4 linked regions of the Schizosaccharomyces pombe genome follow. The gene in region 3 interacts genetically with the main gene of each other region. Each region holds a gene or a part of one and is shown on either strand. Other genes may lie near its edges.

Region 1 (7,723 bases), on a different chromosome or scaffold from region 3:
AACATGCTAGTGAAAATGTTTATAAAATCCTTATTGGAAATAAATGTGATTGTGAGGATCAGCGTCAGGTCTCCTTTGAACAGGGACAAGCGTTAGCCGATGAGCTGGGCGTTAAATTTTTAGAAGCTAGTGCGAAGACGAACGTCAATGTAGATGAGGCATTTTTTACCCTTGCCCGGGAAATAAAAAAACAAAAGATTGATGCAGAAAACGAATTTTCCAACCAGGCAAATAACGTTGACCTCGGAAACGATCGTACGGTGAAGAGGTGTTGTTAGGCTCCTTATTATTATCTTGTCACATTTTCTTTTTCGCTAGTTTTTGATATTAGCACCGCCGATACGTATATAGTCGTGAAGTGTGTGGAGAGCTTGAAGGAGTGGAGATTGGCATTGCTTTTTATATCTTGTGTTGGTTATCGTTTCCGGATTGCTACTTTGTTTCCTTACTCTTTTCAACTCTACCCGGTTGGGAAGTTTATAATATTTCTCTATATTGTACACTTTCTCTTACTTTTTAATGCTTTCATAACGTAAAATTTATGCCTAATAGCTTCAATCAACTTTTGATATGCTTTCGAGTTGTTGTGATTAGATCGAGTTTACATTTTGGAATATAATCAATTCCCATGTTTTTTTTTTCAACGTCTCTTTTTTCATTGCAATTTCCTTAACATTTCAAAAAGTAATGCCTTTGCTTTTTCTTGGGGCCATTTTCCAATGTTTCTCGCGAATCCTTTTATCAATTTGCAACGAGCAATCAAGCACCATCTAATTCGTCCTGTTGATCTACCTCATTTATTTTTTACGGCTGCTGCCTATTGTTTTAAATGTTTGGGCCACTGAACCAAGTTTACATTTTTCATCATGTTATACCGATTTGATTAGGTTGTCATCAATCGAAACGTCTTTTAACGCCTATCTTTTACATATTTTAATTGCCTTATCTTCATCTTCATTTAAACGTAAGATGACTACTTACCTTGTTACATTGTAGATTTTATTTTATTTTTATCTTGCAACGAGACCACAACAGAAGCCTTTCCAAGATTACCACTTCAGCATCTTAATCTTTTTAAACAACGTATTACTATATGAAAGTCGATGTACCAGATTATTGCCAAGATTAAAACGATTTCAGCAATGTAGAGTAATTTGGCATACTCATACTCTTGTTTGTTTACGTTTTTGTTAACTACGCAATTGCTAACCAAGATAACGATGTGTTACTTTGCGGTAAGTCTCAACTTGGGATTTTACTATTTTCTTTTCATGACAATTTAACGATATGCAATTATATATATATCGATAGTCAGGTTGGACTTAATGTACAATTACCAGCTGATAGCTGATAATTGAAATATGAAACGCAGGAAATTTGATTCAATTTATAATATTTTCATTTTAGGATATATTAAAAATTACGAATACATTTCCGTTTTGGGTGACAAATATAAAACTTAAGAACAAAAAATGTAGCGAAGCATACCGTAAAATGGAGTAGTGTAGTGAGCAATAGCCACGGGTTCAGAAAATAATAAATTCGAAAAAAACCAACTCAAAGAGCTACTATAGTGAAAATTAACGATACTATCTTTAAAATATTTACGTTGGTACACTCAATTTTGTAAACTGTTGATAACACGAAAGATTGCAAGGTTCTCTGAAAAATGGCGGATTTTATTTACCAAGAACAAGCAACGTTCTGTTTTGGGAAATAGCGAAATGTCTAGCCAAGTTAGTTATTTATCGACTCGTGGTGGATCTTCAAATTTTTCTTTTGAAGAGGCTGTGGTATGTCACAAATGCGTCTTACTTATAACTCGGTTTACTAATTGCCATTACTGTATAGCTTAAGGGTTTGGCTAATGATGGAGGATTGTTTATTCCATCAGAAATCCCTCAGCTACCTAGCGGATGGATTGAGGCTTGGAAGGACAAATCCTTCCCTGAAATTGCCTTTGAGGTAATGTCTTTGTACATTCCTCGCTCTGAAATTTCAGCTGATGAATTGAAAAAATTGGTTGATCGCTCTTACTCTACCTTCCGCCACCCAGAGACTACTCCTCTAAAATCATTAAAGAACGGTCTCAATGTACTTGAGCTCTTCCATGGTCCTACTTTTGCGTTCAAAGATGTTGCTTTGCAATTTCTTGGTAACCTCTTTGAATTTTTCCTTACTCGTAAGAACGGAAACAAACCTGAAGACGAACGTGATCATCTGACCGTGGTTGGTGCCACTAGTGGTGACACTGGTAGTGCAGCTATCTATGGCTTACGTGGCAAGAAGGACGTTTCAGTTTTTATCTTATTTCCCAATGGACGTGTTTCCCCTATCCAAGAAGCTCAGATGACTACAGTCACAGATCCTAACGTTCACTGTATCACTGTGAACGGCGTCTTTGACGATTGTCAAGATCTTGTTAAACAAATTTTTGGCGATGTTGAGTTTAATAAGAAGCATCATATTGGTGCCGTTAATTCTATTAACTGGGCTCGTATTCTCTCTCAAATTACCTATTACTTATATTCTTATCTTTCCGTTTACAAGCAAGGAAAGGCTGACGATGTTCGTTTCATCGTTCCCACCGGTAATTTTGGTGATATTCTCGCTGGTTACTACGCCAAGCGTATGGGCTTACCTACTAAACAACTTGTTATTGCTACTAACGAGAATGATATTTTGAATCGTTTCTTCAAGACTGGTCGTTATGAAAAAGCTGATTCTACTCAAGTTTCGCCCAGTGGACCTATTTCCGCCAAAGAAACTTACTCTCCTGCAATGGACATTTTGGTTTCTTCTAACTTCGAGCGTTACTTATGGTATCTTGCATTAGCCACTGAGGCTCCTAATCATACTCCTGCTGAGGCCTCGGAAATTTTGTCTCGCTGGATGAATGAATTCAAACGTGATGGAACAGTTACTGTCCGTCCCGAGGTTTTGGAAGCCGCTAGACGTGATTTCGTGAGTGAACGTGTTAGTAATGATGAAACCATTGATGCTATTAAAAAAATCTATGAAAGTGATCATTATATCATCGACCCACACACTGCTGTTGGCGTCGAAACTGGTCTTCGTTGCTTAGAGAAGACTAAGGACCAGGATATTACCTATATTTGCCTTTCCACAGCTCATCCTGCTAAGTTTGACAAAGCAGTAAACCTTGCTCTTTCTTCTTATAGTGATTATAACTTTAACACACAAGTATTACCGATAGAGTTTGATGGCCTCTTGGATGAGGAGCGCACCTGCATTTTCTCAGGAAAACCCAATATTGACATTCTTAAACAAATTATTGAAGTTACTCTCAGCAGAGAGAAAGCTTAGAGGATTTAGGGATACCATTGTTACCGTTACTTTGTTTCTTTTCAAAAAAAAAATAAAAAAATCTGATTCCCGGTATTTTTTAGTTATATAGAAGTTGACTTTACATATCCATAGTATTAATTCGTTTTTGGAGTCGTCAAAATTTTTGAGGTTTAAGCTTAATCTTTAGCAAGACACTTTCATCCATTCTTTTGTTTATTTTTTTCTCCTTTTTTTTAAATTTATTTTTACTTGAAGATATGTAATGAAAATTTCAAATGATTGACTTAGCTTTTGTATTTATAGACATGGTTCTATATAGTTTCGTCTTTGTTTGCGTCAATGAACCCCATTATTAAGCATAGTATTATAGTAAATTATCCCAGCAATTAATAGTAAGCATCAAAAAACGAGGGAAACGAGGATTAATGAAGCATAACCTAGCTTACACCATGAGGTATACGCAGATGCAATCAATTTTTAATTATCCTTCGTTTACTACGTGTAGCTGATAATCGTCGACATCTTGGAAGTACTTCTTTATGCTTTTTAAATACTCTTTTTTGCCGGGAGTAAGTTCTTTCAAATTATCATTTTCTTCATCTGATGAACCAGTGTTGTTGTCATTATCAGAAGCTGTATCCTTATCTTGCGAATGATATGTTTTCAAAATTTTCTTTTCTTTTACACCTTTCCGTCGCTTTCGCAAGTTGAATGCACTTTTCACCGGTGATCTTGCAATGCTGTCTGAATAACTAGGGTCCTCATCAGAATGAATGGCAGGTGGTGAAGAAGATTTGGTTTCATATAGCCCAGATAAATCAATGTCATCATCTCGCCGCCGTTTTTTTCTCAAACGCGTTAAATGATGCCCATGTGGAACAGGTATAAGTCGTTCAAGTTGCTTTGAATCCATTGGCTTTGATGTGTTGCTCAGATTGGACGGTGTGATTTTTCTCTGCTGTAAAGATGAAGTAGAAAGAAGAGAAAGAGGAATAGGTGAAGATGATTCTGAGCCATTAGGAGGCAGAAGCGGAGAGGAAGAAGGAGGTAGCTCTGGAGTTGAAGGAGATGCAATTGAGACAGTTGGTACAGACTGTTGATTTTCATCGGCAGATCTTATTTGGAGAGCTTCGTTATAATCAATTTCACCTATTTCTAATGTAGGAGGCGAGGAGGGAAGAATTCTGTTATATGACATATTAGAGGTTTCGTTGAATCCCTTAGAAAGTGTATTAACAAGATCATTGGAATTAATCGAAGATAAACGAATCCCTTTTGTTGAGCTGAAGCCAAACGGATCATCATTACTTGAAGAAGGAGGCACAATTTCAACGCTTTTGAATCTGTGAGATAACTTCTTATTTTCTGGCGTCGAAGTCTCAATTACATGGGCAGTTTTAACAAAAGAATCATCGGAATCCATGTTATATTATGAGAAAATTCGAATGAATTAAGCCGCCAGAAGAGATTTCAATGCATTTCACTTTTGTATATTGCGTACAGTTTTTACTGAATCTTTGATTCCAATGTCAAGATTATACTGTTACCTACGTTACTTTGAAAAGAAATGCAAGAAATCCATTGCAAAATTGCAATGAAAGAAAAATTACATTGCTCTTTCTTTTTAACATATATTATTTACACCCTATCAAAATACAGATGAAACAAAACACGACAAACTAACGGTATGGTGGTAGTCATTTATTTATATTTATAACCTAAATCGTATAAAACAACAGCATCGTTAACTAATCCATCACTTTATGAAAATAAAATAATTTTTAGCGTATACTTCCCGGGACGTAAATATGAGGAAATAAAGGGGTGAAGGGCTCACGTAGTAAATCCAAGGCGAAGAATGAACGACAAATGAGGACACAGTAAAAGCATGAATTTGACGGTTTGTACAAATTAAAAAATAATTTTAAATCTGCCATGGAGAAAAGGGGGGAAATTAGATATCCTTCTTCTTTTCGACAGTTTTGGTAACTGCAGCATATTTTTCAGCCAATGTCTCGTATTCCTTATCACGGGTCTCCAACTTTGTACGAAGAGTCTCAAGCTCTTCCACGGCCTTAGCATTATTAGTGCTAGCTTCTACTTGAGTTTGTAAAGCTTGCATTTTATCTTGAGCAGCTATCATGGCCTCTAAGGCAAGGTAATAACGATTGACAACTAAAGAGAGGAACAACGCAGATCCGCAGAGATACAAATTTCTTTGAGCGTAGAATTGGCTAGCCTTATATCCCGAACGAGCACTTTCGGTGGTGCTAGGAGCGGCAATAGCAAGATCATATTCTTTGGTCACACGAACAACACGGCGAACAGAGTCAGCAAACAGAATCAAGATGCAAATAATAGTAATCTAAAAGTATTAGCATACAAGAAAAGAAGGGAAAATAAGATATGGGAAGAAGGAAAAAATCAATCAGGTATCAAAGTCAACATATATTTGCCATGCAAAGCATAATAAACATTTTAAGCTATTTTTCTATAGAATCGTAAAGTGAATAATTCCATCTTCCTACGAGAAAGGATGTGGAATCTGTTTTTCGCATTCATTGCAACTAGCTATCTACTATCAGGATGAAGTGATACACTGAAAATTTACACCCAATTATTTTTACAATATTTATAATGTGATCCTTACCTTTAAAACATGTTTCACTCTTCCGGCGAAGGGGGAGTTGCTAATGGCATTCAAAATGGCTCTTCGAACTTTAAGTGGTAATGGCAGAGAAAGTATTACAAATGATACTATCTCTACCATTAAGAGCATAAAAACAATCATGTAGTAAATCGTCATTTTGATAATTCAAGAAAGTTTTCTACAAAAAAACGTATGGGAAAGGACAAGTGAGAATAACGCTTTCCTTAAATAATAGTTCATTAGTTTTTCCTATGACGTAAGCTCTTGAACTTGCTGATTTTAAGCCAAAAAGTCATGCCGTTAAATTAAGCTGACTCTGAGGTTGAAGTTAAAAGACCATTTCTGACCAAGTCTCTTTGCAGGTTTCGCTCACATCAAAGAAAAACAGTAAACAAATACAGTTCTACCATACTAACATCTTACCAAGCGCATTGCTACTGCGTTTCCTCGAAGTTTTACGAAAGTTAAGCGGACATACACTATACGTTTTTGTTCTTTAACACAGTAACTTACGACATACTAACAAAAAATCAGCTTCCACAAAGTCGAAAGACAGATTCATCTGATTATTTTTAGCGTCGTCTACAGTCGTATATATATATATATATATATTTATAACACTACCTGCTAGATACTTTCAACATTTTCGTTAACTTTGCTCAAACAACCCTATAACAGCTACTATATAACACCTTTACTGTACTTGGATATGAAGCTATTAGTATGATATTTCCGACAGGCTCTTATTGTAAATAAACAGTATATGACAACATATTACAAACAAAATTGATCAATTAAAAAAAAGAATGAAAGAAGAAAAACTTTTTTTAAACATAAATAAACAAGGGAGACTGACTTTGCTCACCAATCGTTCCTGCTAGAAGATTGCTTATTGCTTTTAACAGGTGAAAGGCGAGCCCGGCTGCGCTTGATATTCATCCAAGGGAAGTTTTCTTCTCTAGCAGCCTCAAAAGCGTCAATCATAGTTTCTTTTTGCAAAGTCAGTCCGATGTCATCCAAACCATTAACCAAACAATGTTTACGGAAAGGCTCAACATCAAATTTGACTTGTTTATCACCATAAGTTATAGTTTGATTAACAAGATCGACAGAGAATTTGACTTGATTTTCAGCGGCTTTCATCATATCATTAACTTGCTCAATTGGAGTAGGAATAGGAAGCATACCATTCTTGAAGCAGTTATTGAAGAAAATGTCAGCAAAAGACGGTGCAATAATTACACGAATGCCAAAATCGTTTAATGCCCATGGAGCATGCTCACGAGAGCTACCACAACCGAAGTTGTCGTGAGCAACCAAAACAGTTGCATGTCGGTAAGGTTCGCGATTGAGGACAAAGTCGGGTATCTCCTTTCCGTCCGCATCGTAACGGATTTCGTAGAAAGCAAATTGACCAAGACCGGTACGTTTAATGGTCTTCAAAAATTGCTTGGGAATAATTTTGTCAGTGTCGACATTAGCCATAGGCAAAGGAGCAGCAATGCCTTCAACGACGGTGAATTTGGGAATACCGGCAGATCCAGAAGATACAGAACCAGCAACATTAGTGGCAATGCCATCAGCATCAGTAACTGCATCAGTAGCATCGTCAACAGAAAGGCCTATATCACCCTCTACATCATGGCTGGGATCATAGTTCTTGTTAGTAATAATAGAAGGAGATCCGTTGGAAACATCTCCAAAAAATTCACGAACATTACAGAGATGTCCTTTAATAGCGGCAGCGGCAGCCATAGCGGGACT
Region 2 (8,422 bases), 2.3 Mb from region 3:
TCGGACAGAGAGGTTTCAGGTAGACAATCCTTCATCGAGGGAATGACAGTTGATTTCGCCTGTCACTCAGAAATGAAAACCGTATCAGAAATACCTTTCTATGGTAAAATTAAGTACTATGACCGCTTTGTATATTACGGACAATAAAATATGTGTTTAAACGGTTAATAAGGAGGTTCATTACCAGTTTTAGTTTCAATTCATATCATCCATTTCTGTATATCAAATTCGCATCACCGCATAACATTTATTATAACATAGCCTAACAAATAACAAATCCTTTGCTAACCCTTTTTTTAACTTTTAAAATAAATTTAGTTTTCGACAGCAGCAGCACCACGCAAAAGACCGGTTCTACGAGCAGCAATAAGACCAACCTTTTGACCAGGAGCGGATTGGCGAGGAACGGTAGTAGAGTGACCAACGTGTTGATGGTTACCACCACCGTGAGGGTGATCGACGGGGTTCATAGCGACACCACGAGTACGAGGCCAGCAGTTACGCTTGACGCGGTACTTGTGGAATGCACGTCCAGCCTTGAGCAAAGGCTTGTCAATACGACCACCACCAGCAACAATACCGACAACACCACGAGCAGAAGAAGGGACAACCTTCTTAGCACCAGAGGGCAACTTGACACGGGTCTTGCCAGTGTCAACATCATGTCCGACAATGATAACATAGTTACCAGAAGAACGACCCAATGCACCACGGTCACCGGCCTTCTCCTCAACGTTGGAAATAATGGTACCCTCGGGCATCTCACCAACAGGCAAGACATTACCAACGGTCAAAGCAGCGTTTTTACCGCAGTAAACGAATTGGCCAGTGTACATACCCTCAGTTGCAACAAAGGTTTCAACATCAGTTCTGTAGTGATAAGGATTACGGAAAGCAACCTTGGCCAACGGAGCACCACGGCCAGGGTCATGAATGATCTTTTGGACGACACCACGAATGTATCCATGACGCTCAGCAAAGTCCAAAGTACGGAGCTGAGCAGCACCCTTACGAAGACGGGTATGAGCTTGGAAAATTCCACCACTCTTTCTTTGAGCTCTGATCACACGTCCCATTGTTAGTTTGTTGAAAGAGTATGTAACAGATTGGTGTACAAATCAGTCAGGCCTTGTTTCGAAAAGTACTCGTGACTGCTTTTGTGTAATATAGAGAAGTTCATCGTTAGTGTCTTAAAACCTAGTAACATTCTATTACGAGATACTGCGATAAAATACTATTCTTAGTATGAATGTAAAGAATTTGTAAGGCATAAACATTATTAAATTAAAGTGCATAGATTTTACTCTTCCATGCTGGGAGTTCCGAGCTTCATTTAAATAGTAAACTGGTTGTGAAATAAGGCGAATTCAAAATAAATAAATTGATGATCAATATGGCGATTCAAAAAAAGAGAGAGATTATATTCGTTACTGAAATTTGCGATAGCAATAGCGATGTAGCAAGTTGAAAAATCTAAGTCAGTAGTCCATGCTTTAAAAGTAAAAACGATAAGTAGTCAAATTAAACCTTCATAGCTTTTTTTTTCTTAATTCTAAGGGTCCGTGCATAAACACTTTAGAAGTCCAATTATATTGGCCTTGAAGGTCGGATATTAATGGCTGACCAGCTTTCAACATTTTTGCGTTCTTTTGGTATAGGAATCAATTAAATATTCCTTTTGTTTTTGTTAAAAGATCTTAAATTTCTTTTTCACTTTCCTTAGCTACTTTTTTGATTGCAGGAGCATCATCATTAGAGGTTTCATCTAATTTCCGTTTCGTTACTGAGGGTTTCTTTCTGTTGTAATAAGCTTCACGGATAATAGGCATCTCTTTGAGAAGGTCTTCTTTAGAAACGCCATCTTCTATGCTCTGCAATACACTTTTAACTGTACTGATATGGTTTGCATCTCGTTTATCATCACGAAAACGTAAAAATCTCCAACGATTTTCATCATCCAGATAGCACTCTACTATTCTTTCCGATAAAGGAACATTAAAGCTTTTCAATTTTTCCCATTCTTTTTCATCAACATACATGAAGGCAAAAAAAGAGTACATGTTCCTACCCTCCCATACACCAAGTTGAAATTCTGGCATGGCTGAATAATCAATGTCCCCTTCTTCAGGCTGTGCAAATTCCAGCTTTAGCATAAAGTCTATTGTATTCATTTCTTTTGGTTTCCACTTCAAAAGCGACTGGTCAGTGCCAGATACATAAGGAGTTTCCGTACATGTAAAGATAAGTCCATCATTACCATGACGAAGTCGGGGGATCACTTCATTAAATAACTTTAGGATACCATGACCCAGCTCCATTTTTTTTAACGATGTGAGAAAAGGAAATATGGCAGTTTCGCGCATATGAGTCTTTGTATATTCATCTAAGGGCTTTTGAATGCTTTTAGCAAAAATTCCCAAGCGTTTGTCAAGCAATCGACTCATATAAACAATTCCATCACATGCCAAACAATCAAAGACTAAATATCTCAGTTGCTTCTTACCACCTGGATAGATATCTAAAACCAACTCACCGTCCAAAAGTGTATCAACATGATATTTTTTTCCAGATTTGTCATTTTCAACTGGATAAAAAATTTTCTCAACATGATAAAAATTCATTTTACGATCAAATAAATATACACTGGGTCGATTTTCGTACCGAGGATGCTCGGTCATATAAAGTAAACAACGAATTCCATCACTTTTTTCACATACGAAATAGTTCTTTTCTTTTAATGCTTGTAAATGTTTCTTTGAAAAAGAAACTGGCTGTGATCCAGGAAATGTATCAGGACTTGTTCCTAATAATTTGGCAATTCGTGTCTTTAAAACCCTCACATCGTCGCGCGGTGCTAAAACTCCAGGGACTGATACCTCTTCAATGTCTTTCTCTGAGGGTGCCATTCCTTTTAATAATACACTCGTTTCTTTGCTAAGAGAGGGCTTAAGCACTTTCTGAAGGAGTAGAAACGGGATATAGTCTTAATGTACTAAATAAAGACACATGGTTTGTATAAAAATTCCTTATGCAGTATAGTGATCTTTTGCTGCAAAACGCAAAAATGCATATAATTATAGCTGCTCTACGAATACTGTTATCTTTTCTACCATTTACTTCAGAAAGTGTTATTCTATTACTTAATTTTTTTTTTATTCCAAAGCAAACAATATATGTAACTGTGGTGTCGTACTGAAGATAAAATGACATGTCTGTGAACGAGGTACAGATTATATGGCAGTGATTACAGATTTGGCTCATCTAGGTCAAGTTCGTAAAGCAATCGTAACCTATTAAAAAAATACATATAGGGAAGATATATCATTACAGTAATTATTAATCTGGAAATGAAACGTGCGTAAAGGATCTTCGAAACATAAACACTTTTAATGAAGAAACATGAATGAAAAACCCAAGCAATTGAATGAAACGAGTTTGGAGTGAGATTGCAAATCCCATGAACACAGTGACGCGAAGAAAATAATAGTATTGTGAAAAAAGAAAAATAAAATATGCCAGAGTTAAAGTACAATTACTATAGACAAGCAGTAGAGCAGCACTGGCCGTCTTTTAAGCATCTCCTATTGCAAGATTCTATCCAGGCTCTCAGAAATGCATATACAGTATAATAAAAAAATGTTACGAAACTTGATTCAATGGGGTGTCATTTGCTCAATGTTTCTGAAAGGACATAATTCCTTGAGCCTCTGAAGAAAGATATTGTCGAATTCCTTCGCAATTGCAATCTTGATGAGCTAATAGTTGATTCTTCAAACAAATTACTTCTTCACGTAGTTGGCTGACTAAAATCCTTAGAGCTTTCGACTGCTCACATGCGATATGTGCTGTTTTTTCGAGATTCTGTGTCCAAAGCTTTTTCTTTTGGCGGCATTTCGATGCGGCTATTCGATTTCTCTCTAAAAACCGCCTCCTCTTCATATCAGGAGTTTCATTGTTACTAGCGGTATGAACATTGTTACTGCCAGGTGTACCCCGTCGTTGACTGGAGGCGACGGTTTTATTGGAACAGGACTCATCGCTGCTGTTGTAGTCTCCATTTGGAGATTGAGACTGCTTCTTGTTGGAGTTTAAGTATCCTTCTCTACGTAAGGATTCAAGATTATAGAAAATCTCATCGTTATTCGCAGTAGCGGAATTCTTATATAGGTCCAAACCTTTTTCTTGTTCCGCTCCTGTTAGATTAACATTGTTTTGCATAAGATTTGACTGCACTACGTATGGGGCGTTGGTTCCATTTTGGAATTGTGGATGAAGCACTTGATGAGATCCATTATTATAATGATTCAAAGTACTACCTTCAGAGTATAATGAAGGTGCAACAATTGTTGAGCGTACAGGAGGAGTATTTGTAGGCTGGCCTTTGTCATTATTGTTAGAAATCTCCGAAAGGTTTACCGTTTGAGGTAATGATACCTCTGAAGTACGCTCGGGTCCTTTGAGGTAATGTCCAATGCTAGCATCACCTACTATTGAAGCGTAGTTATTATGTGAATTCGAGGGAAAGGATGTTTGATCTTTAGGTCCCTGGACTGGACCTCTACATTCATATACTCCGATATCGCTAGATTCAGCGCGTTTTTCTCCAACTTCATGGTTACCACCATCGCGGAATGTATTGAAGTTAAAATGAAAATCATGGTGAGTGCCATTACTGACGCTAGCACCATATCCTTCATTACCTAGTGTATCTAACCCGAGATACACATTTGCGAAATCCATGATGGAAGATTGATGATGAGCAAGTTAATTTTCTATTGAGTGCGGTTGAAATGGTTTCGACGGTAAAGCCGATGAAGATAGTTGATACAAGAACGGACTAAATAAAAAGCGAAAGTTTCTTTTTTGTTAGTAGTGCGAATATGTAGTGATTTCTTGAAGAAGGTTAAATCTTAAAAAGAGGCTATGTTATTCAGGTGCTGGCGAAACAAATTGGGAAGGGAAGATGAAGCAAATTGTGGTCGATCAAGTGACGCAAATTTGGATTGATGAATAAGGATGCAATATCTTTGTATAAAATTTCTGAATAGTGATCCCTGTGAACTTCTTCAAAAAAGTAAATAAAAGAAAATGAAGAATGTATAAACCGACAAGTTGGTGATTTGAAACTTAGGAGCTATCAATGGAAAAGTTTCTTTCAATTATATAAATGTGTTCTCTCTTTATTTTTCCTCTGTTTTAAGCATGCAGTAGTGTCCCGGTTTTAGGAAATGAACGAACGATAAAGGAAGGGATGACAATTCGTCGTTCTACAGAAGGATGGAATGGATTAATGGCAAAAGTGAGGATTCCTGGGAAAATAAGTATATATATATAAGGTGGACAGAGAAAGAAGGTAAAGGATAATGAAGGTGGTGAAGGAAGCAATGTCTTACTGCGTCCCTGGCAAGTAAAGAGGCTTATAAACAATAGAGAACTATGTACTAAGGTGGTTTAAGATACCAATTCCTTAATTTTGGACTTGGATTACTATAAGAATACGTTTCTGCTGAGAAATATGATGCTGCAGTCGGTAACTTTTTGGTTTGTGTCGCAATGTTTATATATGTTGATCGGGTGAGATGAATTTTGACGTCACTGCAAAACAAACAAACGAAGGGCTAGGGTAGCCAATCGGGAAATGATTTGTTTACTTTATGAGATGAACTTGCCGTATAGAAATAAAAAGTTTTTCTTTATAAAAATTTATTTTTTTTTTGTTTGAAGGGATTTGTTGCAATTAACAAAGGCACTATGCTAAAAAAGTCAAGCAGTATTATCCTTTAAGGCCTCCATTTTAAGGAGCTAACCGAAGGGGACTACATTCACGTGTCGCTCCACTGTGTAATATTTACATCACAGTCGTACCGTTAATTGGCCACCATATTCGGAAAGGAAAATCTAGAGTTCTATTTGATGCAGATTATGTCAAATATAATCAGGATTTACTTTTATTTAAACCAATCAAAAAATAGCCGATTACTTGTGGAGAGATAATAACGCTATCCCTCGGTATTCGTAGTCGTCAATAGTAAAGTTGTGAATGCGAAAATATAATATCGCCTCTCTTGCTAGCTTTTTTCATATTTATTTCCTTTAATGGTTTTGATGAAACTACCTAGGCTTCAAATTTTGTCGTTCTCTTACGCGCGCCACCATAAACGGCTTTATCGTTACTGATAATAATAGCTCATATCATTACTATTAGTAGCCTTTCCGCTATCAATCCTTTCTCAAAATTTAGCCGCAACTTGTTTCTAATACTTCTTCATCTTTCTTGCCCACATTTACTTATATTGTCGCAAGCAAGAGTAACATGTTATTGATTTAAATCTGGTTTGCCAGAATTCTCATTTTTAGTATGTATACTATCATATCTTTTAACTATACACGAGATGAAGTTTAACTTTTGGTCACATTAAATCAAAATAGACAGAACGGATCGTACATACGACCATGAGTTAGCCACTGGATTGAATCAGTTCTGCAAATCGAAAGATGTTGAACTTCGCAGTTGACAATATGAGAATACTTTAGCAACATCTGGAATATTTAATTAAGCTCTACGTCAATTTGGTAGAAATGTGACTATCTAAGATATAGTTGGCAATTTCCCGAATTCATAGGATATCACCTTTAAACCTTTTGACTTAATTTAATGATATTATTTTTCTTTATTTTAATTTACTGAGATGTAAATGCCGTGATTGTTGCATGTGTATACCTCAGATAATAATTGGACGTAGACACTATTGATTAACCCACGTAGCTATTTCACTTCTTTTGAATATTTTTCTCTTATTCATTCCTTCCGATTGCTGAATTTTCAATGCAGCCGTCAAATTAGGAACATATTACTTCATACGGACTCTGACTCATGATTCACTATGTGTCGTCGAGTCAATATATTTTCATTATAGTCATTGAAACTTACTGACTTTTGCAAATGACCGTTTCATATAACTTGTAGCTTTTGGTTAAACATGAACGCTATTGCTACAGTCTAGTTCCCATTAGAAGCAGCTTACGGGAGTAGAATTGTTGCTTAAACCTACCACTAAAACTTTGGTCATAACCTTGAAGGGACTCGGTATGATTGACCTTTTCCAATTAACATGTTTAACATCCACAGTTTCCATTTCTAATTTTATTTTGTATAACCGTAAATATCGAAAAAGCTGTGCATTAGCATTCCTTACACTGCGCTATACCCTCTTGTGTTATTCTATTCCTATACACATCCATACCGTTAATTACTTAGCTTTTACCATTGCAAGGATGAAACGCGTATGGCCTAGAATTCCTACGATTTCGAATGTCTGTAGGGCTCGCAGTATTTACAGTGCTGCTCAGGAAAATGCATATCGCTCTTCTGTAAAGTTAATACAGGAATACTCGGAGAAAGTTCACAAAAAGCTTCAGGCTAAATTATTAGAAAACCCAAGTGAAACTTCCCCAGAAATAGAACGGTTACAGGTTTTATCACAAATTAATTTACCGGAAGTACGCTCTAAATTTCATAAAAAGGAGATCGACTACACGAATCCGGTGTTCCTTTACATGCTTAAGCAACAGTGGGAAGATTATCAAAAATTGCTTCTTTTACAAAGATTGGAGCAGATGAAAGTAATAAAGGACTCTGGGATTGGCTCATTTTCGCCATCTGTCGACGTACAGTTAGGATTTAACCCCGAAAATAATGATTCTATCACTCCTGGCACTATCTTGCCAAGTACGGTTACTGTAAAGACCCCGTGGCTATCAGTTTTACCCTTTAATTGTAAAAAGAATCATTATTCAGTTATAACACTAGATTTGGATGTCCCGAATTACGAAACAAACCGGTTTGAGACTCATTGCAACTGGCTTTTAACGAATATCCCCATTGAAGCATCCAAACGTGTGCCCATTGATACTTCTAAAGCTTTCTTTCAATATCGGCCTCCTATTGTTCACCGTGGAGAAGATAAACACCGTATCTTAACCCTTGTTTTGCGGCAAAAGTCATCTAGTATTAGTATTCCTTCTAATGCACTTGTCCGCGAACGATTTGACCTCTCTGAGTTTTGCTCAATCTATGATCTTGAACCTGTTGGCGCTCATCTTTGGAGAAGTGGCTGGGATTCGGACGCAGTTGCATTATTATCCAAGCACCCGTCTGTACACGAATATCGAGATATCCGTGTAGAACGTATCCCTGCATGAAACTACTAAAAGAGCCCCTAAAATATTGTTTTTATAAGTCATTTTTTCATTCCATGTTTCAAAACATTAGCATGCATTGCTTCCCTCCTCTCGTGTCAAAATAGTTTATCTTTTACATGATTTCCCTTCTTAGGTTTTTTTAAGACGATAGCCTTGTTCCATAGTCCTATTTTACTTTCCTCTTATTAAATCAATTGCAAATCTGTGAATAAAATGCCTA
Region 3 (8,220 bases):
TCTATAAATGTTTATAGCATTCGGCATTCAAATATTTCATGAAAAGCGACGGATTTAAAGAAGTAATGCTATCAAAAATCGATCAATTATATTTTAAAATTATAACGCAAGTCGTAAGAATCTTTGTATATGTTGGATTGCAAAACTGTATTATTTAAGAATGAAAACAAAAAGAAAAAGCCTTAACTCGTCTTTACCCACTAACAAAAAAAAAAGAAAAAAGTTAAGTTTAGAAACAATGAAACTCTTTAATTAAAGTAACGAAAAAGAGCCACAGGTTTTAATTAAAATGGAACTTCTTCGAAAACACATAATAAATGCTAACAAAAATTACTCCAGGAGGAATTAAGGTGGACACTGCATAGCAGTAATTTTCTCTGTCAAATCCATCGCACCCAGAATTTCTGAATGATGCCGTTGGTGTCTACTATATACAGGAGGTAAAGCCGTTGGAATTCGAAGTGCTGGAGCGAGACTTTCGACACCCAATAAATACAGACAGACTAATGAAGTTGTTTTTCTCTCAATGTAAGCCATGTAAAGTTCATGTTTTAGTTCGGGAATACTTGCTAAACCATGCTCATGTAACAGCTGTAAAACCTTTAAATTAAAAGGCGGTTTGAAAACATGAGATCGGATTGAAGGCGTTGAGGGAATAGAGGTTAAGGGAATAGGCAGATACAAACAAAACGAATTTTTTTTTAACCAGGGAAATTTTGCTGCTTGTTCTAAAGAACAGCGCTTCCGTGGGTTTACATTCAGCATAGCTGCAATAAGAGAACAACAATCTTCTGAAATGTAAGAAGGAAACTCCAGTTTACCCGACTTTATTTTTGAATGGAGCATAGGAACGGAAACGTCGTCAAATGGGACTCGTCCACAAACCATAACATAAATCACTACTCCCAGGCTCCAAACATCAACCTCTGGGCCTATGTACGGCTTTGCATCAAGTAATTCTGGGGCCGCAAAATAAAGACTCCCACAGTATGTACGTAATAAATCGTCTTTACTATAAAAATTACTGAGGCCAAAGTCAATTAGCTTCACCTGACGAGAATCCTGAGTTAAAAGAACATTCTCAATTTTTAAGTCTCTGTGTACAATAAAATTCTTGTGAAGATAAACCAATGCATTAATCAACTGCATAGCAAAACTCCTAGCCAAATCTTCATCGAGTTTGCCACGAGCAAGGATGTACTCCAAAAGTTGTCCTCCAGGAACGTATTCGAACAGTATGTAAGTACATGCAGGCGTCCGGATACAGTCTATTACCCGGCATATGTTGGGATGTCTCAATAAACGACCTAAAAGTGCCTCCCTTTGAACACGAACTGTCTGACTTGTATTATTAGGAGTAAAGGGAATCATTTTGAGAGCTGCTTTCTCTCCTGTTAAAATATTTACAACGAGTTTAACCTTTCCCATACTGCCAGCACCAATTGTTTTCTTGATAATCCAGTTTCCAACTTGTCGACCAGGACCAGCTGTGCCAACGAAATCAGATATAGACCTTTGATGTTTTGTAGACTGATTTATTTTTATATTCTGAGAGCGTTTAGGAATAGAGAAAGTATCCCAGCACTCATTCCTTAGGTTAGTTGTGTTCGGTTTCATCTTCTCAGCTGTAAAAGGAATTTATGAACAAAATTGTGCTTAAATAATTCAATTACAAATGAAGTTAAGAAAGGAAGAAGTAGTGTCTTAGATAAAATTATCATAAAAAGAAAACTCACTTCACATAAAAAGATATATTGTTCTTAGTAACAACAATACTATTAAAGTGTTTTTATCACTGTAACGCTTAACTTATGTAAAAGCAGACATTTAATTTTCAAGTGAGAATCCACTCACATGGAGTTTGCTAAAGGTTGAGACACTCCTCTCAAGGTTCTTCCCTTGGCAAAATTATTTGGTTTGGTCAGTATGGTACACGGGACGCGTCGCGACGTTAATTAATTTGTTTCGTTAGTGTGCGTTATACAAAATGTAAACAAATAATAAAACTCGTCAGAAAACTTACCCTTATTTACCAGTATCTTACAACAAATGCATTGGATTTATGAAGGTTACTTAAATTTGTTCTTTTTTTACATTAAAGAAAAAAAATTATGGTTTTGAGTATTTAAAAGCGATGGTTTTACTTTTTTTGGATTTTGCAATTTTAAGCATCATGTTGATCAATTGATGTTTTCTTATAATAAATGAAATGAATGGATAAATTTTTATCAAAAGCCCATTAGTAGTTATTTTTTTTTATAGCTGTTATGATAATTGATCCAATAACTTAGATTATACTAATTGACTACAATGCGTTGTGTTACTTCTTTTACAATAATGGTTGAAAGTCAGATGCTTAAAAATGAATTGTTGATTTTCAGTTCTAAGAAATAGTACATTATACATACTGCTCACTGTTTGTTTTTTTCTACCAATAATTAATATCGCCTGAAAAGAATTAAAAGTAGCTTTACTGAAATGCTTCAAAATAGTAGCATGTACTTCAATCTTAAAATAGTGTTATAAATATTTTAAGAGTGAGAAGAAAGCTTTTATTCTTTATTCCAAAGATCCACTTCTCAACTAATACGTATATTCCAGCGTAGTACATTTATATTTCTTAAAATTTCATCCGCAGCTTTCCTACACATGATCCATTCAGTTTAGCTTGCAAACACGTTACTAAGCAACTTAAGGATCTGCACAGTTGTGTTAAGATTAATTATGTGAAGTTTATACCTTCGTAAAAGTTGCTTAACGAACCCTAATATATTTATTTAGGATTTTGCTAGAATACTCTAGGCAGTAATCTACTTCGCATTTATAAGTGCAAGTTCCCATTAAAGCTTTAAGACTTTTTTGTATCTTACCATTTTTACTAACTTTTGCTACTTTTTCTTTTTGAATTTTTATTTGAATAAGCATTTTCTACCCAAACCGAAATTTTTATTCAAAAGTTCAAATTTTTAGGTATTATTATTGTTTATTCTTGACACAATGGAGAAACTTTTGGCCTTCAGTACGCAGTTGCAAGCTCAAGGAAACTCTTCCAATTCTCCTCCTGATCCTAAAGACCTTGATCCCTCAGTTTTAGATCATATTTTTGGAGCAAACCCAGCTGATGAAATGAGGAAAGCGATGGACGCAATTGAGGATCCATCGGTACCTTTAGATCAGAAAGAGATAGCTTTTGACAACTTAGAAATGCTCGTAGAGCATATTGACAATGCAAATAATTTGGTTCCCCTGCAATTGTGGCCTCGCCTATTGAAACAGCTTGAGAGTCCGGAATCTACCTTGCGCAGATTAGCTGCTTGGACGATCGCAACTGCCGTTCAAAATAATCCTAAATCTCAACAAGCGCTTATAGAAAATGATGGATTGAAGATTCTCTTCGGCGCCCTAAAAAAAGAGGATTCGGATGAAACAAAAAATAAAGTCCTTTATGCAATAACTAGTGAGCTTAAACTTAACGAAGCTGGAATTGCTTTATTAGATAAAATCCCAAACTCTTGGGAAATGCTGATTGAAATCTTGGAGCTTAAACACTCGGTTATGACAAAACGAGTTATCTTTTTTTTCTATGCATTACTTATTCAAGAAGATAAATCAAAACAAATTATTCTTCAAAAGGCACACGAATTTCAGATTCCAGAAAAAGTTTATCAATTCAGTCTTGAACATTCTGTCGATGAGGATTGTGTTACCAAATCTCTTCATACACTTTATTTATTCCAGAAAAATAAAGTGTCTGTCGCAAATACTAACGAGTTATTAAAGTCGCTCGTACAATTTAAGTCAGAGTTTCCTGAAATTTTCACCGTCGATGAATGGAAAGCATTTCACGAAGCTCTTGAATAAAGGTTGAAAGCTTCGATTACTATTTTTATTATTCATGTGGACTACGGAGCAATATAATGAGATGTTTTATTTCGTTTATGACTGATAAACAATTTTTTGGTTATTTGGAAAGGATACTCTAGTAACTGTGGTACTTAAAAAGTAAGATAATCGTAAATTCATTAAAGTGTACGAGTACTTCTGTAACTTCTATCTGGATTTTCTCTCTCAGTATATCTATCGCTTCTATGAGAACGTTTTTTATATGAATAACTCCTTCCTTGATAGTAATCATCTGAATAACGGTCTGTTCGATGTTGTTTCCGGCGCTCCGAATGGTATTCGCGATACTTAGTTCTGTCTGGATCTCTATCGCGTTTGTTGTAATTTCGTGAATTATAATCTAAATGTTTACTGCTCACTGAAGACTCTCTTGAGAGGTTGTTATCTCGGCTTCTTTTTCTGAATAGTTCTGAACTGGGAGTTAAGTTGTCAATGGAATTTGACTTCTTCTGTACTTCAGTATGTTCGTTTTGTGAATTCAGAGCGGAATTTGATTCTAGAGGCTTAACAGGAAGAAACATAGTCTTTTTTGGATTTTTCCAAATATCCAGCTCAGTAAGTTCGGAATCCACAGGCTTGGCTCCCATACCCAAAAACGTCGGCCTTTGATTAACATCAAAAGCATCTTTAGAAGATAATTGACCATTCCAACCCATTCCTCGAAGCATGGCGGCGCCAAATTCTTCAACCGGAATTTCCGAGTAATCTTTCATATTAGAAGGCTCCGGAAGCTCGTCAATGTCTTTTCTATATGCATCTTTCTCGTTAACAACATTAGTGGTAATCGGCTGTAAGTTGGCAGAATTAGCACTTTTAACATCGTCATTTAAATCATTAAGGACAAGTTGGACTTCTTCAGGAAGAATATCAGTACTTTCTTTATTTGTGGCTATCTTATTTTGAGCCTTTTCATTTGAATTATTTGCCTTCCAGTCCACAATTTCATTATCCGCTGCTGATGAAGAAGCCACCCGAATATTTAGACCATAATTTAAGCCGCTATCTGGCAATTGTGAAGGTTTCTCATGAACTTCTGTTTCTTTTTTTTTAAACCTGGCTTTTCTTTTTTCCATCCAGTTCTCATCACTTGCAATGTGGATTATCTTTGGCGCTCTTTTCTTTTCGTGTATGCGCTGAATAGTTTCATTCTGATAATGAACTCCCTCTTCAGCGCTAAATCCAGTAATAAGTTGAGGACCTTTTAATTTTTTTTCATCTTCATCCTCAGAATCGCTGAATGCTTCTAATACGGCTTTTCGCTTCATCAGAGTTATTATGATAACTCACTTGTTTGCGACTAAGCGTATTACAATGAACAAAAAAAATAAAATGGCAAAAATCGGCCAGATTATAAGTAGGAAGGAAAGTTTAAAATTACAGTGAAAATAGTCTTGAGAATAATCACATTCGTACAATGAGAGTTGTGAAGCTTTTCAGGAATTTTTCGTTGCCCAGACATGGAATAGTGTGTGCTCCCTTTACCTCTTTATTTGGATTACAGAATTCATGCTCATTTCTCCCTTACTTAAAACGCACCTTCAAATAGCAGTAAAAAAATAGCTTTTTTATTTAGTGGCATTTTTTATTAATATAAAAGTATAAACAATTTTGGTTGAAACGAAAGCCTACTGTTAATATCAACCTTTAGTCTCAAATTGCATCTATCCTTGTATAATATTGCATACAACAAGTTTTAAGGTAATCTTTAAAATACGTTAAGAAAAATATGTTTAAGCAAATAGCTTAACTCAATTAGCACCATAGATTTGGTATAGTGCGTTATTATGTATTGTACGGCAGTGAGCAATGTGTTTAATCAAGAACACTCCTTCTTAGTTGGTGAGTAGTTTACTACTTTTAAAGCCATTTGTGATTGAGCCTGGAATGATTGACTTGTTTGCGATAGTTAATAAAGGAGGCATAGTACTTTGGAAAAAAACAAATTCTCTTGTTAATTTGAAATGCCTTCAAGTTTTATTTCACGAAGCTTTCTTAAGTGAGCAAAGAACGGTGAACAACACCGTAACATTTGATCGGTACACCATGCAGTATCAAGAGGCTACACAATATAGCATAGTTTTTGTGGTAAGTTTAATATATTGTGATTTGTGCTTTGACAGAAATTGTCAATTACTATACACCCAAAATGAGGTCCAAAAATTTTTTTGTTTATACTTTATCTTTGATTTTCTATTATTTGTCAAAGTCAAAGCCATACCTTTATCGTGTCATTTGAACTTAATTAACGCGGTTGAATTTTTAGGTTGTGTTTCAAGATTTGAAATGTATGGCATATTCTCAATCACTGCTTAATAGTGCTCATAATATATTTCTGAATCTATTTAAAGAAAAATTAGAAGATCGTCAAGTTCCTAATGAAGCAGAAGTTGAAAAACTGTTCGCTCCCATTTTTAATCGTAAATCAGCACAACTGGAGAATGAAACAGACACGAAATCTTTACCTGTTGAGGCTAATAATGATAACTCAGCAAGAAAGAAAAATGAATATGAAATGAAGAAAAAAGGCGCTCAATCCAAGCAAACAAATGCCCCTAAAAAAGGAAAGAAGCAACTCAGAAAATGGGATGATCAAATAACTGAGGAAGAACAGGCTGCATTGAACTATTCTAGTCAAGCATCTTCTGCTTCCCAAACAGTCGATAATTCCCAACTTTCTTCTATTGTGGGTAATAATAATAAGTTTCAAAAGACTGGTAGTGGTGATGTTATTATAAGTGATTTGGAAATGGATCCCAATCAAACAATTTCCAATAAATCTGCATCTTCTGCGTTTTCCCTTTTCTCCAACTTAATAGGTGGGAAATACTTGAAGGAGGAGGATCTTAGTCCAATTTTAAAGCAAATGCAAGAACATTTAACAAAAAAGAATGTCGCAAATTCTATAGCTCTGGAGCTTTGTGAATCTGTGAAGGCTTCGTTGATAAACAAAAAAGTTGGTTCGTTTGATACTGTGAAAAACACAGTAAACAAGGCCTTTCGGGATAGGCTTACTCAAATACTCACCCCAAGTACATCTTTGGACCTTTTGCATAGTATTCGTTCTGTACGCAAAAACGAAAACCGTCCGTATACCATTTCTCTCATTGGCGTCAATGGTGTTGGAAAATCTACAACATTGGCTAAAATAGCGTATTGGCTTTTATCTAACAACTTTCGAATCTTAGTTGCTGCCTGCGATACTTTTCGCTCGGGTGCAATTGAACAACTCGGAGTACATGTGAAAAATCTCCAAAGTTTGAAGGGTAGCTCCATTGAATTATTTGCACAGGGATATGGTAAAGACTCGAGCTTTGTTGTTAAGAACGCTGTTGAGTATGCCAAGCAAAATAGTTTTGATGTTATATTAATTGATACTGCTGGCCGGAGACATAACGATCAAAGGCTTATGGGATCATTGGAAAAGGTAATTACTTACAAAATTGATTAAGTATTGAGTCTTCTACTAAGATAGAATTGTTTGAACTTTGAACTAACATAACAGTTTACTAAAGCTACTAAGCTGGATAAAATTTTTCAAGTGGCAGAAGCATTAGTAGGAACAGATTCCTTAGCACAAGCAAAACATTTCCAAGCTTCCCTTTATCATCGCCCATTGGATGGTTTTATTATTTCTAAAGTTGATACTGTGGGTCAGCTAGTTGGTGTTATGGTTGGCATGGTATACGCGGTAAGGGTACCTATCATATTCGTAGGCATTGGACAAACTTACAGTGATCTTCGTACATTATCAGTCGACTGGGTAGTTGATCAACTGATGAAGTAAGCCATTAAATGTTTACCTTTAACTATAAGATTTTTTACCATATTATATTAATGGGATATCAATTACTTTGGTAACAATTTTTTTAAGCTTAATTGTTTTTTTATTTGTTCGTTGAATCAGTATTCGAGATTTAGTTTTGTATTGGTTTCCGTTTAGTACCTTTCGCAGTGCGCGTGTGGGTCAATTTAGCGATTTCAAATATTCTAATATCAAACCGCTAAAATCTTGTTTTTCTCATTTCATTCATTCAGCGATTAAAATACTTAAAAATATTAAAAAACATGGGCATATTAAAGAAAACTATCTTTATAGGAGGTATATACGGTCTAGGTGTCTACATTGGTGCGGTAGCTTGGAGGTTGAGGAAAGATGTTCTCAATTATGAATCGCGACAGAAGTCAGACTTATTAATTCCGAACAGCAATAGTATTTCAATTTATAATCAAATTGCTGATAAATATAGCAGAAAAATTACGCGAGAGGAAATATTTTCTGGAATATATTTTCTTCGATATTTCCTCTTACGAAATGCG
Region 4 (8,753 bases), on a different chromosome or scaffold from region 3:
AAAGTTTTTTCTCAAGCTATCCATCATATCACTGTAAATTAAAATATGATATTTTGTATGCAATTTCTTCGTACTAACTTAAAATTACACTTTTATCCTTCGTAAATACAATTTAACAAACGTAGACATATCATTTTTAACATACAAGCAAATAAACCCGAACCCGACGTGTAACTTTTACAAGTTAAGAGGGTTACAAATATCTGCAAAACTGTCTGCGAAAAGACAAGATATAAATAAAAACTCTATGATACTTAGACATTGAAATAAAAAACCTACGTTAGATAAAGTCGTTAAATCTCAGAAAGAGGAGTCCACAAATGATAGAAGCCAGACATGGATAGTATGAATACAGTGATTAAGCCTTTTGTTCGGCATTAGCCGAAACTTCTCCATTTTGAACAGTTGGCTTTATGTCCTGCTGTTCCATAGCTTTACTAGCAGCCAAAGAATCCAAAAGATCATGAAGAGCAATCACGGCCCTCACGATGCTGGAAATATAAATGGACATCAACTGATCATTGGAATTCACATTGAAAGCACGTTGTGCCTCTGATTCCAAGGCCTGTTCTGAAACCACAGGACCGCTAAAAATGTTAGGCAAAAGATTAAACACACTCTGAAGCTCGGCAAGGATAGCATGATTTATAGGTAGTTGCCCATCCACGACTTTCCTTAAGTAATCTGCGATTTCAGTGAGACGCTGCCCAAGGCCTTGTAAAGATTGTGCCTGCTGGGTAACTCTTGTCGCTAAAGTACCAACGGATGCATCACGAGTATCACGTAACAAGTGTTCAACACCAATTTCCTCTGCTTCCTCTGCCTCTATACTGGAGGGTAGATGAACAAAAGTTCTGCTGGACTTAGAGCCGTCGTCTTCAATTTCATCAATGGCAAAGTAGGCATTAGTCGGAAGACCCACTGATTTGGGCTTTACATCGATAATGACAAGAACGGGATTGGGTATGTATTTTTTAAGTAAGTTGTTGATTTCCAAATCAGAGGGTCGGAGTTGTGGTCCAGTATGATACCAGCCAACTAATTTTTCATTTGCATTGATTTTTTTAAACATTTCATTCATTGATTCCATAAAATTATGGTCCAAAAACCAAACCGATGCATTCTTTTCATCTTCCTCAAATGGTATAGCATAACTATTGGCCACGTTTACAACGTCGCCATTATTTTGACCCAATAGAATACCAACGACCCGTCTTTTGGTTCCCTTGGCAGATCGATTATAAGAATCTACTGCTGACAGAAGTACTAATGGATGCACAATCTAACCAATGGTTAATAAAAAAGTTTCTCAAATTTTCTACTTACAACTTGCTGTGGGACGATTGTAGAGGTTTCAGAGCTCACTGCAGGAGGCATTATAACCGGTTTATATTAAAAATTTGTCTCTCACAACTTCAACTGTGTATGGCAAACGAAAGGTTGAAAGCGTGTAACCTCTCATCACATGCTGCAGCGGTTTCCTACTTACCGCAAGTTAAGACATAGTTCATTACAGAAATATTACGATACTTTCAAATGCCCAACTACCTATTAAGCGCTGTAATATAACAATGCTTTAAACAATGATCATTCCATTAGGCTACTAAATGGCAATTATATTACACTCCCTCTCATATGTAGAAAGGATTGAAGAGCTATACATTTAAATCATGTTAAACGTGTAATTGCACGTAATTTACTCAAATAAATTCTGAAAAGACATGGACATTAAATATTGAAGACATATCTTGAAACCATCTGCTCTTTTTTTAAAGAAATACTTTGCATATCAAATTACATGCTGGTATTTCGATTTGAAGCATAGTATATCACTTTTAACTACTTAATCAAACCGAAATACACGTGAGACGCATTCCAAAAGTTCATTAAATATCTGTTCGATGACTATATTTACGATGAAACAAGTAAAAGAAACTTTCAGTAAGAACGTTCTTAAAAGTTTTCGTCTGAAGCAATTGAAACAGTTAGAATTCAGATATTTTGTATGTCCACACGTTTCATCAAAGCCATATGCATGAGATTTTTTGCAAACTTACATTAATAGGATTTGTGTTTTTGGAATTATTTCAAACGTTTAAAAATATTAACAGAAAAACATAGATCACTATTTGAGAACAACGATATTTCATCTTATCTCTAAAACGAAGGCTATCAGTTCTTATCAAAAAATGAAAAAAATTTCAATAAAAGTTCACTACACTAAAATCCTTTAACTTTTCTTTTTCAACACAACGAAACTTTTTGGTTATTAATTAAATTTTTAAATAGATAGAGAAAGATGGCTCCTGTTCAGTTGAAAAACAAAGAGTCGCAAACCGCTCGAATTGTGGGATCAGCATCTGCCGGAATTCTCGAACTTTCACTCTTTCATCCTGTTGATACAATTTCCAAGCGTTTGATGTCAAATCATGGAAAAATTACTTCTTTAACTCAACTTAACACTGTAATTTTCAGAGATGCTGCCTCTGCTCCTCTACTCCAAAAGGCTACCTCTCTTTTTCCTGGTTTGGGCTATGCTGCTTGCTACAAAATTGTACAACGTATTTATAAATATAGCGGTCAACCAATTGTATGTTGTAGAGTACTTATACTGGTAGTTTAAAGCGTACGTTTTTTCCAAGCCTTGATGGCGGAATTAATGTATCGCAGTTGGCTTCAGTATACTCGTTCATCTTTACTAACATGTTCAGGTAAAAGACTTTTTGAATGAAAATTATAGACATACTTTTGATAAAACTTTTGGAAAGGGATCTGGAAAAGCCATTATGCATGCTACTGCTGGAAGGTATGTATCTGTCGAATATTTGTTTAACTAAGCTGAAAGCTTATGTTTAAGATTGTTGAAAAGGGAATTCAAGATGTGTATAGCTTACTAACTTTTCAGTATCGTTGGAATTGGAGAGATCTTCCTCCTTCCCTTAGACGTCCTGAAAATTAAGCGCCAAACCAATCCTGCAGCTTTTAAAGGTCGCGGTGTTTTCAGAATTCTCGCTGATGAGAAATTTGCGTTGTATCGTGGATGGGGATGGACTGCCGCCCGCAATGCCCCAGGTTCTTTTGCACTCTTTGGTGGTAACGCTTTTGCTAAGGAGTACATATTTAAACTAAAGGATTACTCTCAAGCCACTTTTTTTCAAAATTTTTTCACCTCAATCGCTGGTGCTTCTGCTAGTTTGATTGTCTCTGCCCCTCTCGATGTTATTAAAACTCGTATTCAAAATAAGAATTTTGATAACCCTCAATCCGGGTTTACTATTTTGAAAAATATGCTTAAATTCGAAGGACCTACCTCGTTCTTTAAAGGGTTGACTCCCAAATTGTTGACAACTGGTCCTAAGCTTGTTTTTTCATTTACCATGGCTCAAACCCTTATCCCCTTCTTTGATAAGCTTTTGAAATAATATGCTTTATTTCTTCATTTCAATGTTGAAATATTGTTGAGTGTGCTCTGTTTTTCTATATAAATAATTCATTGGGGTTGTAATCTTTTGAAAGACTTTACTTTTTGGTTCTTTTTGTTTTTGTCATTCAAAAGTGAAGAAAGTTTTTTTTTGAGACTGTTATTGATCTTTTACTTTGTAAAAATACTAACAAATATTTTGTTTTTCTTTTAATTTTTTTAGATATACTTGTCCTTAATCTACTTATTTTCTCAAATATTACTTCGATTGGTGTTTGTTTTGTTTATTTTGTTTGTTTCTGTTATTGTTTATTTTTCTGAGTGAACTTACCTTGGTAAACACTATTTGTTTTGGTTGGATATTTATAGCCTGGTGTCAGCAACTCTTCATCCACCAATATCCAATTTCCGAAAGAACAGAAAAAACCATATCCATTAAATATTAGTTTTTATTTATAGAGTTTATTATGCAGTCAATTGATTTAAGGCTACCTTCGACTTCTGCAAATCATTCAATCTCTGAATCGCTGGAGCATTCCAAGTCAGAATTAAATGAACTTTCAAATGTTAGTGAAAGCGAATCTTATTTCGATATTACAAAGAAACTCCATGCATTAAGCACTGTTGTTCAACGTCAACAACGAGAGATCGACAATCAGAAAAGAGATTTGTGTACCAAAACGAAACATATTGAAGAATTACAAACGCTCTTGTCTAATGCAAATATCATGTCTGATGGGGCTTCTTCTCAAAATGATGCATTTGCTCATAACCCATCTACCTCTGTTTCTGTAGAATTAGTTCGACCTGTTGTTGGGACTAAAAAGCATGCAGTATACGCAACTTCAGCTCCTAAGAGCATGTCATTGCAGGATTCTTTGTCTGTTCCTTCGGCAACTGCTTTGGCTGATGTTTCAAGTTCGTTGAATTATTCTCGAAAATTAAGTTCGAACAGTATTAAATCCACGAATGCTCCTGTATTTGGAACAGCAGTCAAAAACGTAACAGGTGAAAATATATTGTCTGCATCTTCTTCTGAGGAAAATTTGAACTCTAATAGAAACGGAGATCCAAAATTTCGTTTTTCAGTTTCACCATGGATATCTTCTTCGAATTTTAACCCTTATGAGGCTTCGTTAGCTAATTTCCAATCGGACAATTGCAAGCTAAAATCCCATAACTCATTACCATCGATCCGTACCAATGTTCGATATAGCAATTCTAAACCGTCAACACCATTATCTCCAGAGGATGTCGATCTTGGAACTTATACAGTTAAGAACCGTGATAGTTGGTCGAATGAAGTGAATCTCTCGGCATCCACAAATAACTTGAGTACGAATACGTCTGGCACGTTAAAGCCATACTCACTCAGCTCTTCTCGGAGTTCTTCGTACTCGAAAGGAGTAAATAGTGCCGCCAGTTTACAGTCCATATGGGAAACTATGAATAACTCGAACCCATCTGTCATCCCCGAGTCTACTTCTTCAAGAGAACCAGCTGCCCGATACAGAAAAATCTCTGAAAGGAATGCTGTATATGATTGGAATGTTATAATTGATAAAATTATTGTAAGCAATGATCAGCAATCTTCGATATTCCTTCAACAGAAGCTGAAAATTTCTTCTTATGATATGAAACAAAACATTGTTGATTCCATAATATCTCAAATCCATCCTCTGATGCTTAACCGCTTTGGGAATTTCTTAGTTCAAAGATGTTTTGAGCATGGCACTGCCCCACAAATTCGACAAATGGGATCTGCCATGTTGGGAAATATGTTAAAATTGGCAACAGATCCTTTCGGATGCCACGTTGTTCAAAAGGCAATAGATAATGTGACAGAAGATATTAAACTGGCTATGATGGACGAGTTATTCCTCACTATTGATGTTACAATAATGCACCACTATGCATGCCATGTCTGGCAAAAATTGTTTGAAACGCAATGGTACGAGTATCCAGTTAATGTCATGAATCGCGTAAACAATGCCTTGAGAGGAAAATGGCACGAAGTTGCAGTCGGGGAAAATGGAAGTCTCGTAGTCCAAAATATGTTTGAGAACTGTGTAGAGAAAGATAAGCGTGAATGCATTGAGGAAATCATTTTTCATTTAGACGGTATTGCACGTGGTCAATGGGGAAACTGGGTGGTGCAACACATGGTAGAAAACGGACAAGGAGAGGATTTGAAAAGAGTCATTGATGCATTATTGAATCGTGCAGTGGAATTTAGTATTGACCAATTTGCCTCTAAGGTCATTGAAAAAGCAATTAAGTCTGGCCCAAAAAATTTCATTTCCTTATATCTAAAACAAATTACAAACGCGAGAGTTGACCGAACAAGGCAGCCTTTAATCGATATTGCATCTGATCAGTATGGCAACTATTTAATTCAGCAAATAATTCAACTTGGTCAACCAGCTGAGAAAAACCTTGTCATTACGCATATAAAAAAGCACATGGTTTCTCTTCGGGGAAGCAAGTACGGTCAGAAGGTTGCTTATTTAGTCGAGAAATGGAATTCTCAAAAACAGGTTTCCTCTGTAATCAACTACAACTGCAATACTGACCTCTGATCTGTAAATATAGGGATATATTCATTTCCACATTTTAATTAGTTTTTATTTTATATATGATACAGCTCTAACACTTACTGAAGCATCAATAGATCAAATTTTCACTATCTTCCGGATAAGGTAGTTAAGCAACGATCTCTTTAAATAAGTAAATTGAAATATATATCTCTTTACATATTTGTGAATAAGTAGCATAATAGTATTTTAAAATAATTATTATAAATAAATGCGTTCATTAATATACCAAAAGAAACTTTAATTTCCGGAGCATTGGCATCCATAACACTCATGAAGTTGTTCATGCGCAAAAACATCGCAATCCAAACAAAAATGATTTTTACACGAGGGACATGCATACCGCATCGATGAAGTAGATTCGTCAAACGGTGAAACCGGCGGCTTCGGAAAAGGTAACTGACACGCAAAGCAATGAGTGGACTTTGGATTTGCGGACCAAGGAATTTCGCTCCAGTTTTTCAATGGAAACAAATGATGATAAGATCGAGCAAGATGTGTTGAAAGGATTAGAACGAGAGAACAACTAGGGCATTCGATCGGTAAAGTACAAACTTTTGCTTTACAACGAGGACAATGAAACCCACCACGAGACGGAATTGAATGGCAAGCACAAAGACTTGGCAATTGCTCAACGACCTTAGAAGGAAATCCCATCATTACCAAAGAAGCATCAGTGGTTTTAGCCGAATCAGTAGCAGGAGGTATTGTGCTTTCGAGTAGAAGTTCGCGAAAATGTTGTTCACTGATGACTACGCCGTAGGCATTTTTCGTAGATGAGTTAGTTTTATTACAAATTTCTTTACAAATGGCGACTTCAGCAGCCAAACCAACGATACGGACACGAATAGAATCATGAACCAGAGCATCAATCGTCTTGAAAATGTCGCCAGGGTCTGATGATAAGATGGAACCAAAAATGATAAGGACTTCTCTAGTGCCATGGGAAGCAATGTGTGATAAAGAAGCTCTAGCCATTTCGAGAGCATTTTGAAGAGAGAAGTTTCCACTACAATCTCGAAGAGATTTAAGCTTCTGAATATGCGATTGAGGATTCCCATGCAAATCAGTTATCCGATGAGCGATTCCATCCATTACGCCTATAATCGATAATTGGGAAATAGGATTTTGTTCAAAAAACTCAAGAACAAATTCAGAAGCATACTTTATCTGAAGGTCGAACCGCTTATGATGAAAATCACGCTCCTCCATAGAGTTGCTCAAATCTAACACCAAGACCATGTGTCTAATAATACCTCGTTGTAACGGAGTTGTATCTCTAAGAAGTCTAAATCAGATTGACAAGTTAGTATACCGTTCATCGATGCTATAAAAGACTAATATGTTTCCAAATGCCCAACATAGGCAACTAACAAACAAATGAAGAACATAAGAAAACCAATTTTGATACGCCATACCTTTTACGTTTCCCGCTTTGAATAAGCCCAGCGATAACGCCTACTAAACTACCCTCTGCGTCCTCCTGTACGATATCCCAAGAACGCTGATATTCACCTTCCCAAGTATAACCCTCATTATCGTCAGTTTTCCTGCTTCTTACTTTAACTCTTCCATTTTTTTGTTCATCCTCGCTTTCCGACTTGTCAGAGTCAAAACTTTTTTGGTTCTCATTCATTGAGTGTTATTTTAACCGAGCATAGGTATTATGCCAGAACGCTATTTGATAATTAGATAAATGAATATTGCACAAATTCTATTCCTTGGTTTCTACAGACTAAAGAACTCAAAGCGAATGTATTTCTTCAAGTCACGTTTTACCCAGTGAACTTTTGGTAATTTGAATAGTCGCGTCGAGTTGCTTTACATGCAATGAGCGAAAGTTCTTTCTTTTATTATTTTTAGTTTTATTTTTTTAAAAAGCAATGACTCCTGGGCATACCAGTAAAATGGTAAGACTAAGTAAGTACTAGAACAAGAGACCATTTACACGAAGACAATACGGACAAGGAGCGCAACCATTATTTGTTAAATATAATAATGAATTTCGTTATGCTGCGTTAATTCGTGTTTATCAGTCTTTGATTTGTGATATGAAATTTGTATACAACTATTTCTGTTATTTGAAAAAACTTAGGAAATTATGAAAGTAAAAGAAGAATATAAAATAAATCTGTACTCCTCATTCTTTAAGGATGAGTTATATATCGTATTTTATAAAATTATTTATGGCTCGGTTATTTGTACAAACTGCATATTGCAATATAGTAGAGACTTAGAAATTTGCAAACTGCGTAATTGCCAATATTTTATGTAAAGCTACAAGTGATATGGACATAAGAAGAATAATTACTTTTCGCTTAGGCTGAATGTTGGATGGTTTGCAGGACGAAAGAGTTCATTTAATTGATTTTCTCGAACAGAAATTGGCTACTGACTAGGAATTGCGAAATCGCATTGTTTAAGAAGTTCTCGTTCTACTCCAAGGTCGATTTTTTCGTTTTTATTTGTCTTAGAAACAAATTTCAACTTATATTTGCTGTATATACTGGTTTTTAAAACTCCAAAACTTGAGAATGATGAATGGAATCCTTATTTCGTATATATCCAACAAAAAAAAAGGTTAAATCACTACTTTGCATCTTTTGAGTAATGTCTTAATTGAACAATTTTTTAAGTCGCAAATCTTACAAAGTCACAATTAAGGATTGTATATCAATTTGGTAAAACAATAAAGAGGATGATTAATCTATAATTGACAACAGATTCATTAGTTAAAT

Evidence for each region.
Region 1: mutations in cwf28 (region 3) and SPOM_SPAC9E9.04 together harm fitness more than expected from each alone (negative genetic interaction), as found in Schizosaccharomyces pombe (one large-scale study listed by BioGRID).
Region 2: mutations in cwf28 (region 3) and atf21 together harm fitness more than expected from each alone (negative genetic interaction), as found in Schizosaccharomyces pombe (one large-scale study listed by BioGRID).
Region 4: mutations in cwf28 (region 3) and mpf2 together harm fitness more than expected from each alone (negative genetic interaction), as found in Schizosaccharomyces pombe (one large-scale study listed by BioGRID).

Annotation. Positions count from the first base shown.
Region 1 is NC_003424.3:4,441,470-4,449,192, reverse strand, and holds SPOM_SPAC9E9.04 (bcap family protein), read right to left. Parts: upstream 6,164-7,723; 5' UTR 6,116-6,163; coding exon 5,960-6,115; intron 5,675-5,959; coding exon 5,264-5,674; 3' UTR 4,997-5,263; downstream 1-4,996. Other genes in the region: GTPase Ypt2, read left to right, coding at 1-278; SPOM_SPAC9E9.06C (threonine synthase), read left to right, coding at 1,725-1,793, 1,852-3,327; sor1 (sororin), read right to left, coding at 3,791-4,732; 3-isopropylmalate dehydratase Leu2, read right to left, coding at 6,821-7,723.
Region 2 is NC_003423.3:1,719,331-1,727,752, reverse strand, and holds atf21 (Atf-CREB family transcription factor Atf21), read right to left. Parts: upstream 4,741-8,422; coding exon 3,673-4,740; 3' UTR 3,303-3,672; downstream 1-3,302. Other genes in the region: rpl802 (60S ribosomal protein uL2), read right to left, coding at 315-1,076; mRNA guanylyltransferase Ceg1, read right to left, coding at 1,698-2,906; mrpl35 (mitochondrial ribosomal protein subunit L35), read left to right, coding at 7,276-8,202.
Region 3 is NC_003423.3:3,987,670-3,995,889, forward strand, and holds cwf28 (splicing factor Cwf28), read right to left. Parts: upstream 5,317-8,220; 5' UTR 5,169-5,316; coding exon 4,023-5,168; 3' UTR 3,943-4,022; downstream 1-3,942. Other genes in the region: serine/threonine protein kinase Ppk25, read right to left, coding at 346-1,617; fes1 (Hsp70 nucleotide exchange factor), read left to right, coding at 2,998-3,861; signal recognition particle receptor alpha subunit Srp101, read left to right, coding at 5,788-5,988, 6,167-7,327, 7,406-7,687; oms1 (methyltransferase), read left to right, coding at 7,969-8,220. UniProt on the Schizosaccharomyces pombe protein: Involved in spliceosome maturation and the first step of pre-mRNA splicing.
Region 4 is NC_003421.2:383,371-392,123, reverse strand, and holds mpf2 (meiotic pumilio family RNA-binding protein Mpf2), read left to right. Parts: upstream 1-3,888; coding exon 3,889-6,000; 3' UTR 6,001-6,104; downstream 6,105-8,753. Other genes in the region: proteasome regulatory subunit Rpn8, read right to left, coding at 359-1,282, 1,327-1,377; ggc1 (guanine nucleotide transporter), read left to right, coding at 2,300-2,590, 2,712-2,806, 2,906-3,422; transcription factor TFIIH complex subunit Ssl1, read right to left, coding at 6,256-7,303, 7,434-7,651.